2 linked regions of the Nothobranchius furzeri genome follow. The protein of the gene in region 2 interacts with the protein of the main gene of each other region in a pairwise test. Links are inferred from orthologs where the notes say so. Each region holds a gene or a part of one and is shown on either strand. Other genes may lie near its edges. The genes, in order: reep6 and ptpn9a.

The links.
Region 1: the proteins of ptpn9a (region 2) and reep6 interact in binary tests that used the Homo sapiens proteins (3 or more experiments, as listed by UniProt). The two-hybrid records come from large-scale screens. The link is inferred for Nothobranchius furzeri from reciprocal best matches to the Homo sapiens genes PTPN9 and REEP6.

What each region holds. Positions count from the first base shown.
Region 1 is NC_091748.1:78,702,081-78,706,630, forward strand, and holds the start of reep6 (receptor expression-enhancing protein 6), read right to left. Parts: upstream 3,110-4,550; coding exon 2,977-3,109; intron 1-2,976. UniProt on the Homo sapiens protein: Required for correct function and survival of retinal photoreceptors. Required for retinal development.
Region 2 is NC_091754.1:45,540,031-45,543,848, forward strand, and holds part of ptpn9a (tyrosine-protein phosphatase non-receptor type 9), read right to left. Parts: intron 2,293-3,818; coding exon 2,168-2,292; intron 2,066-2,167; coding exon 1,960-2,065; intron 1,638-1,959; coding exon 1,527-1,637; intron 1,297-1,526; coding exon 980-1,296; intron 62-979; coding exon 1-61. UniProt on the Homo sapiens protein: Protein-tyrosine phosphatase that could participate in the transfer of hydrophobic ligands or in functions of the Golgi apparatus.

The sequences.
Region 1 (4,550 bases), on a different chromosome or scaffold from region 2:
ATTATTAGTTGGAACTCCTGTCTCTGCCCTGAACCGGTTGCAGGTTGTCCAAAATGCCGCTGCTAGGTTTTTAACAAACACGAGTCGACATACTGTAGCCATATTACACCAGTCCTGGAACATCTTCACTGGCTCCCCATCACATTTCGTGTGCATTTTAAGATATTGATGTTTGTTTTTAAAGCCCTACACGACCTAGCTCCTCCATATCTGTCCGACCTGCTGACTCCATATGTACCTACTCGTATGTTGAGGTCAGCTGACCGTCTACTGCTTTGCACTCCCCGGATGGCCTACAAATCACGAGGTGAACGTGAGTTTGTCCATGCTGCCCCCATGCTCTAGGACTCACTGCCCAGTACAGTCAGGCTGGCGTCCTCTCTGCCTGTTTTAAATGTCGTTTAAAAACCTACTTTTATGACTTGTCTTTTAGACAGTGATCCATGTCATCCTATTAGGATTTTATAGTTTTTATTGTTGTGTTTTATCGTCCTATTGTTTTTACTTTTGTTTTAATTGATCCTGCCTGTTCAGCACTTCGGTCAGCTCTCACGCTGTGTCTTAAACTGTGCTATAGAAATAACGTTGGCATGGTATGTTTACAGCCTGGTACCAGAACATGTTTTTGGTTTAAATGATCTAGTTTACACTCATGACAACTCTGAGGGGGGTGAATGTTTTTCTCACTCTTCTGTTTAAGTGTATTAAAAGTCTAAAATTCTGTATAATTAATGAGCCTCAGACCCACGTGACCACAGAGCTAGCTCCGTGGAAAGGCCTCAGTAGAGCCTCGGTCTCGCTTAAAAACTGTTCCGTCATTTTCCGTCTCTCAACTTAGACCATTAGTTGTAGCGTTTGTGTTCTTTTTTGGATATTTTTGTGCAATTGTTGGACAAAATGACTTGCTGTGGCATTAATTGCACTAATAGAGCGTCCAAGGAGTCTCCACTTCATTTTTTCGGTAAGTAAAATTATATTTATGTATTTTAGGTCACTGCCGAGCTGAGCTTAGATTTTAACATGTACTGTTTAACCATGACATTTAAATGTAATAGGGTAAAACCCAGTGCATTTAACATAATGCTGCACTTTAGAAAATGGGTTGAAATATAACATGTTGGTGGAGCTGGGTTCCCACTATCGGTATGGTCCCCTCCCCTCAGCGGCAGCTCGGCGCATCGCAGCGGCGCCTGTCTGCTGCGCGGCTGCCGGCTTGTGGAGCTCTCGGTTGGAAACCTCTGTGTTCCACCCGGTTTTACCCAGCGGTCAGCCTGGCACATCTCCGACTCAGAAGCTCCGGTGTTGTGCACAGTTTGCTAGGAAGCTACCTCTGTTAGCTTAGCTCCCCCCTCCGCGTTGGCTTTGGTTTAGCTTGTAGCTACATCACTGTTCGACGGGTGTCATCATTTGATCCCAGCCTTACAGCCCCACCTTCAGCTCCACCTCTTTTCCCTTTTATGGGATTGTCTGGGCGCGACGAGACGTGTGACACAATCAAAATGGCGGTGGTGGCCACCTCCCATTTCAAATTAAAAACTTCTCATACGAGCCTATGTACAGGAATCGTCCACTATATATATATATATATATATATATATATATATATATGTCGATGGTGTCAAGCTGGGAGGTATTGGGTCCCATTTTTTAAAAGTCTTTGGAATGACCCGATTGGGATTTGAACCCCCATCTCCCAATCCCAGGGCAGACACTAAAGTAAAAAAGGTAGCACAGTCAAATAAAAAAGTAGTTCACTGTAGGATAATTATTTGATGCTCTGAATGCTTTAGACAAAACAAATTTACTTAAATAATTGGTTGTTACAGAGAGCCAACTTCTCGATCGAGAGGAGCCAGTTAAGGTGGCTCGGGCATCTGCTTAGGATGCCTTCTGGACGCCTCCCTGGTGAGGTCCGACTGGGAGGAGATCTAAAGGAAGACCCAGGACACGCTGGAGGGACTATGTCTCTCTGCTGGCCAGGGAACGTCTCAGGATTCCCCCAGAGGAGCTGGCCCAAGTAGCTGGGGAGAGGGAAGGGTGGGCCTCCCAGTTAGACTACTGCCCCCGTGACCCATCCCCGAATAAGCGGGCCGAAAACGGATGGATGTTTGGTTGTTTGTTTGAAAGTTGTTAATAAAGGTTTTTATAAAAAGTAGCTCAGTGACCAGCATCCCTGCATGCATTGCGGTCGATCACGCAACACTCCCTTTTCCAGTTCAGCGATTATTTGCACACTTGTATACCGCACACTCGAAGCCTTACTGCACACTTCCTGCAAGTGCACTCTGCTTAGTAGACAGGGTTCAGAAGATTTCACAGATGTTTAGTAAGAATCAACAGGAGGAGAGGCTCCAGAGATGAATAAAAATGTTCAGGACAGCAGGACTTCATCTTGCTTGTCATCCCAGGAGTTTTCTAAGTTTGAGCAGAACGTTGTAGGGCACGGGCTGTAGCCAGAGCTCCTTAAAGGAAAAGCAGCTCACAAGACACTCCCGTAGTTTGGGATTTAAAACAGGAAGTGCATGATAAAGATTAGCCACTAAAATGTGGACTTCTGAAGCTGTGTCAGGATGGGACTCAGAGCCGAGTTGTAGGAAAATAAAGAGTTTCAGCCGCTTTAACTCCAGGACCTGCTGGGAACCTTCACCAGAACACGGTCTGGGGGAAGGCGGATCAACAAAAGGAAACGTCTAACGATGTCAAATTCAGAGGGTTTCTGTTTGAACCAAAACCAACAAACAGGAAATCAGATGCAACTGAAAGGAACATAAAAGTGAGATGAGGAGGCAGTTTAAAGTCCGATTATGCAGAATAATAAACAGAAGCTTTGGCTGCATCTCCTCACAGGAGGATTAACTGAATCCTCTTTTCTCGGACTCGTCCAGGCAGGTACCGTTGTGTCACACCTGGACAGAATCCACCCAGAACCACGGACACCTTTCATCACCTGAACACAGCAGGAGCTTCCTCACATACCCACAGCCAGGACCTTTTTCTTGATCCCCGTCTTTTCCTCCACCTTCCCCAGAAAATCCGTCACCACGTTCTTCTCGTTCAGAAACTTTTCTGCTCGGTCCTTGATGGAGGTGAGAACACCCAGCAGTCCCATGGTCTCCAACAACGTCCTCAAAGAGAAGCAGAGAGGAAAGGATCCTGGACCGGCAGCTGGCAGGTAGTAATCCTCTCACAGCAACAATCTGTTGTAATGAGGAGGTGGAGCGGTGAGGGAGGAGGTGCCTCGTGAGCATCCGTTAATCCCAAAATCATTCATTCAAAAGTCTCATTCTTAGATAGAAACATTAAAACTTCCCCCGATGATTATGTTATGGTTATATAGTTGTTTAAAGTTTCAGTCTTTGCCTTTTCTCCATTTCTCGTTTTTATTCTCCATCAAACACAAAACAGATTTACTCATCCTAAAGGCAAAGTTGTTCATATTTTTGAATCAGCATCTTGAAACAGTGAAATGTCACTCAGACCCCACCGCCCTCTGTGGCCAGGATACCTCAGAGTCCTGGGCCACCGCCTGTTGTGCTGCTGCCAGCATGTTTGTTTTAGATCATGGACACAGTTGTTTGTTTAATTTAGTGATGAATCACTCCTGTAGACACTAAAGAAGGCTGGGGAGACATTTCAGCTATTAGATTTGGGTGTTAAAAAGAAAAAGGCACAGCGAGGAGATTGGTTTCATTTTGGACCACAGATAATTAATAATGGACACTAGGGGGTGCTAAAAGCAAGAAAAACTGCAGAGTGTGCCCTTAAATGCCAGTTGTGCAGAAACAACACAAAACATCAAGGGGCCATGTAGGTTTTTTTAAACCTTAAATGGTTTTATTTATATATATATATATATATATATATATTTTTTTTTTTTTTTTTGGAGCACACTAGAACTACAGCTGGTAACTTTTACTTATAATGTGTTACAGTCATATCCCCATTCGCACATTCGGGTGCCTTCACAAGCATGTGAGAATGGCCTTGTTTGAGATGAGCGGCGCCTCGCCTGGAAAACAGGTGAGAGCAGACGGACGCAGCGGTGGGAGTGGCTAAAAGCCTGCGTTTAAGTGGGACAGGTTTCTCTACATGTAGCTTGCGGGTGACGATGGCTGAAGAAATCGCATTAGCGTTCATAATTGCGTAACCCTCTGGTGCCTGTTAGCAACTGAAACACATCCTCACATGCGTGTGGAGATCATGTGTTGTAGACATGTGCTTATGGAGACATGACTGTAACAATAAGTAAAGGTTAGCAGCTGTAGTTTTAGTGTGCTCATAGGAAACGTGACAAAAGAACGTAATCACATTTCTCTGTATGGCCTGTATAGTTGTCATCATCAACGTAACATGATTTACAGAATACATGTGACCAACTATCATTTAACGTTCCACCACAGGATGTTTGGATCAAAAGTCGGCGTTGAAGCTTCTTTCCGGAGTATTTCTCTTATCTGATGGCACCATCTAGTGGCTGACAAGCATATCACACAAAAAGTCTGTTCCTCTGTTTGTTTAAGATGGCGACTTCACGTTTCTGGTTATAAATG
Region 2 (3,818 bases):
CCTGGTCTGATCGAGGCACAGCACGTCTCCATAGCGATTTTTTTCCTGATTATAAGATGCTCTGTAGACAAAACATTAGGAAGTCATTACTGACACCAACATGGCCGACCAGAATCATCTAGAGCAGAACAGTTGTGAATGTTGGGACTAATGGCACTTACACATTAGCGTCGGCACAGCCGGGTACAGAACCGGAATTTGGTTTCACAAATGGGTCAGATATGCGTTTTCCAGTTCGAGGCAACTTCTTTTTCAGACCTCCTCCCCAGCGGTCCGACTGGAGCCGAGGAGACACTACTGGGGTGGATGGGGGGGGGGTGTTCATTCATTTTCATGCTGGATGCTGTTAAATAAAGTCCTCTGTCTGTAGCAGGGAGTGGCCGCTCAGTGGGAACGGGAGAGCTGTGTGTGTGCCTGTCCTCTGCATCGGAGCTCTCACCCCAGCGAGCCGACAGGCAGCTGCTCATAGGGGAAAGCAGTGTGTGTGTGTGTGTGGTACAAGATCATGAGGACACACACAGCGAATAAATAAAATAAGGTGATTCAGTCTCCAAAAGCAGCACAGCTCATGTCCGCCTTTGTTTACCTTAGGATCCTCTGGAGGTTTCTTCCTGTTAAAAGGGGGTTTTCCTCTCCACTGTCGCTAAATGCTTGCTTAGTATGAGGATTGATGTAAAGACTCTGACACTAGTCAGTGACTTGAATGCAATTTGCTGGGTTCCTTATATAGGAAACATTATTTCTGATTGGCTTAATGAACGGACCTGGATTGGAATGTTTATTATGTGAAGTGCCTTGAGACGACTCTTGTCGTGATTTGGCGCTATATAAATAAAACTGAACTGAATTGAATTATGGAGGACACCGCAGACTTTTCCGTGTGTATTAAACGCAGGGCCCATGGGCTCAGGGATTAGCCCCACCAAACCCCGACCGTACCGACGCTAATGTGAAGCGCCTTATGTGCGTCTGAACCCACTGAGCGTAGTGGAAGGTACCAGGCGGCGCCTCTCTACGCAGCTCCTCGTACTCCAGGTGGATGCCTGAACGCTGAAGCCTACCAAGGTGAGCCAGCAGTTCCTGGGGCCGCATGGACTCTGGTCCCGGGACGTGGATGGATGAGTCTTCCAGGGGGATTCCCACCAGCTCGTCAACAGGGTCCACTCTGCCGTTCTGACCCGCCAGAAGCTGCTGGTTCCAGCTGAATGAGTCCAGAGGCAGCAGGCCACCGAGGTGCTGGGGGAGGCAGTCTCTGGGGAGGTGCAGACGCAGCTCTGCCATCTTCACCATCTGGACCTGGAATCAGAAAGCATCAGCTCACACTGAATGTTGCTGCATGATAAGCTGTGCACAAGAACACCCTAGTGTAGTTCCATCAGGAACTATGTGCCTTCAGCCCTGCCCCCTTTAAAGATCCATAACCCAGGTAGACTTCACCCAAATGTCACTGAATGTGAATATCTTCTTGTGTTAACCTCCAGGCCATCTGTCAGAGGTGTGTGACGAGAATGTGCAGCTCCCCTTACCCTCTCTCTGAGTTTTTCTTTGAGGAGCAGGCTTAGCAGGTTGTAGGGGACCCGGAACCAAACAGGAGCCCCAACAATCAGCACCTTCTTCAGCCTGGCAGGGAACGCCCCCTGGTGGACACAAACAACACAGCTCATCATAGCATCAGAAATCCAGGAACGAGAGAAACACATCAATCTGATTTTCTTATCTGTCCATCGTCGTCTTAAAACACAAACAGACCATAAACAAGTCCTGCTTGGTGCCGTCTTGTATCTACAGAAGGAACTGAGACCAGTTCATCTGCTGCTGACTGACTGCACATATACTATCAACCCTTTAAAAAGAGCAAACATGGAGGTAGCGGCCCAGGAAGCTCACACAGCTTCTAACACTAACTCATCTCCAATGTCGTGTTGTTGCTTCTGTTTCCTTCTACAACTTGACTCACACCTTCAGTAAGTTGAGGATCTTCTTGCTCAGGTCAAGCTCAAAGTTAGTGTAGTTGGAGCCAGCCATGTCGTAGATGAACACCAGGCCGTTCCTCTGGGTCTCAAAGCTGAGGAGCACAAACCTTCAACAGTAACCAAACTCGACCGAAGGACTTCCCACAATACCTTTGAATACATGAGTGATGACACAGCATTAAGTTAAAGAGCACCTTTCAACAGCCCGGTCCAGGAGATAGAAGAGGGCCTGTAGCACCACGTGGTTGCCCGTCTTGTTGGGATGATGAAGTTTAGCTGTGTACAAAGCGATGGATGCCCCTGAAGGGTCACGCACGCTCTGGAATGACACAAAGTCCTTTCATCAGTGTCCCTGCTGTCAGTGTGACTCCATTAAACCGAATTTATCAGCTGTGATAGCAGCTTCTGTTTCTGTTCAGGAAGAAAAAGCCTGAAAATTTAACACAAGGGGGCGCTTCAGCTCATTTTCCAGTTTTTGTAGAAAACATAAAGGACCGTGAACTACTTCAGCAGGAGGAATGATTATATTCCACAAAAAAGGCCATGGGCTGCAATGGCTTAGCTGAGCTAAAGAATGGCTGCAAGGATCCTGAGAGTCAGAACCTCTGAGCAAAGACACACCAGAACTGTCGTTTGTCAGTAAATAAGCCCGTCCCTGTTGTCCAGCACCAGAGCTAAAAATACTCTCAGACAGGATATGAATCCTGCTGCTGAGGCTGGAGAAGTCCAACGTCAGATGGCAGGATGTGAAGCATCAATGCTACCGCGCGTGTGCGTGCAAATGTGATGGGAGGTACAGAGCTAAATCTTTCTGGAACAGGAAACACCCACAGATAAGTAACACCTAGCCTGACCCACGGTTTGAATTCTAAATGATAAAACTAAGTTACTTCATTAAAGGTTTGAATGAGGGTGGAGTACTAGCACCATCAGCTAGTAATTCCCTAGGTTTCCAGAGTTTATCTAGTCTTCCATGAAGACACTTCAAAGTAATAGATTTATTTGAATTGGTTCATGAAGGACAGAAGATCTGGGGCTTCATTTATAAAACTTGGTGTGGAAGCTTTTCTAAAAGACTACTCAAAGCCAGGGTACACAAGTTAAAAATGTTAAATAACCTTCAAATTCACCCTCTGACCTAATTTTTCGGACTGAAAACAACGATTGGTTGAGGTTTTTAGACAAATCCGAAAGAACCACTTTATTAATTTTTTTCTGGTATTTTTTAAAACTCCACAATATCTTTATAGCTATGCTACATTAGCATGTTGGTAAGAGGCATAAAAAAAACATTTGAAGCTAATTTGTTTTCCAAATTAAGGAATACAGCTTTAAAACCAGACTGGCAATTTTCCAATATGTAATTTCCCATTAAATACTCGGTCAACTGAGAGTAAGTTACCTTCTCCAGTACTTTAGAGATAAAAAGAAGTCTGGAGATGGGTCAATAAATGAGACAGTGCACATCAAATGAGACACTATCTAAGGGGAACAGTTAACTCATTCACTGCCAATGACGACTAAAGTCGTCATTTGCATTTTTTACTGTTTGAGCATTGGAACGAGCCCCCGCGCTGATAGAACAAACATCCCAGCCCTGAAGCCGATCTTCATCCGCCTACATCACAGATCACATGATCAGGAAGCAGACCATCCATGTGTTTGGAGATCGTTTTGGGCCGTTCCTGTAAAAAAAGTGAGGCGCGAAACGGAAAAGCGTCTGCCGATCACAATTCGACAACGGATTATGAAAGAACGGATAACGCTCAAAACACACGGCTTCTTCCTGATGTAAGAGGTGAGTCTCCTCTTTGTTTAGGTTGTTTTGGCATCGACATCATGCTA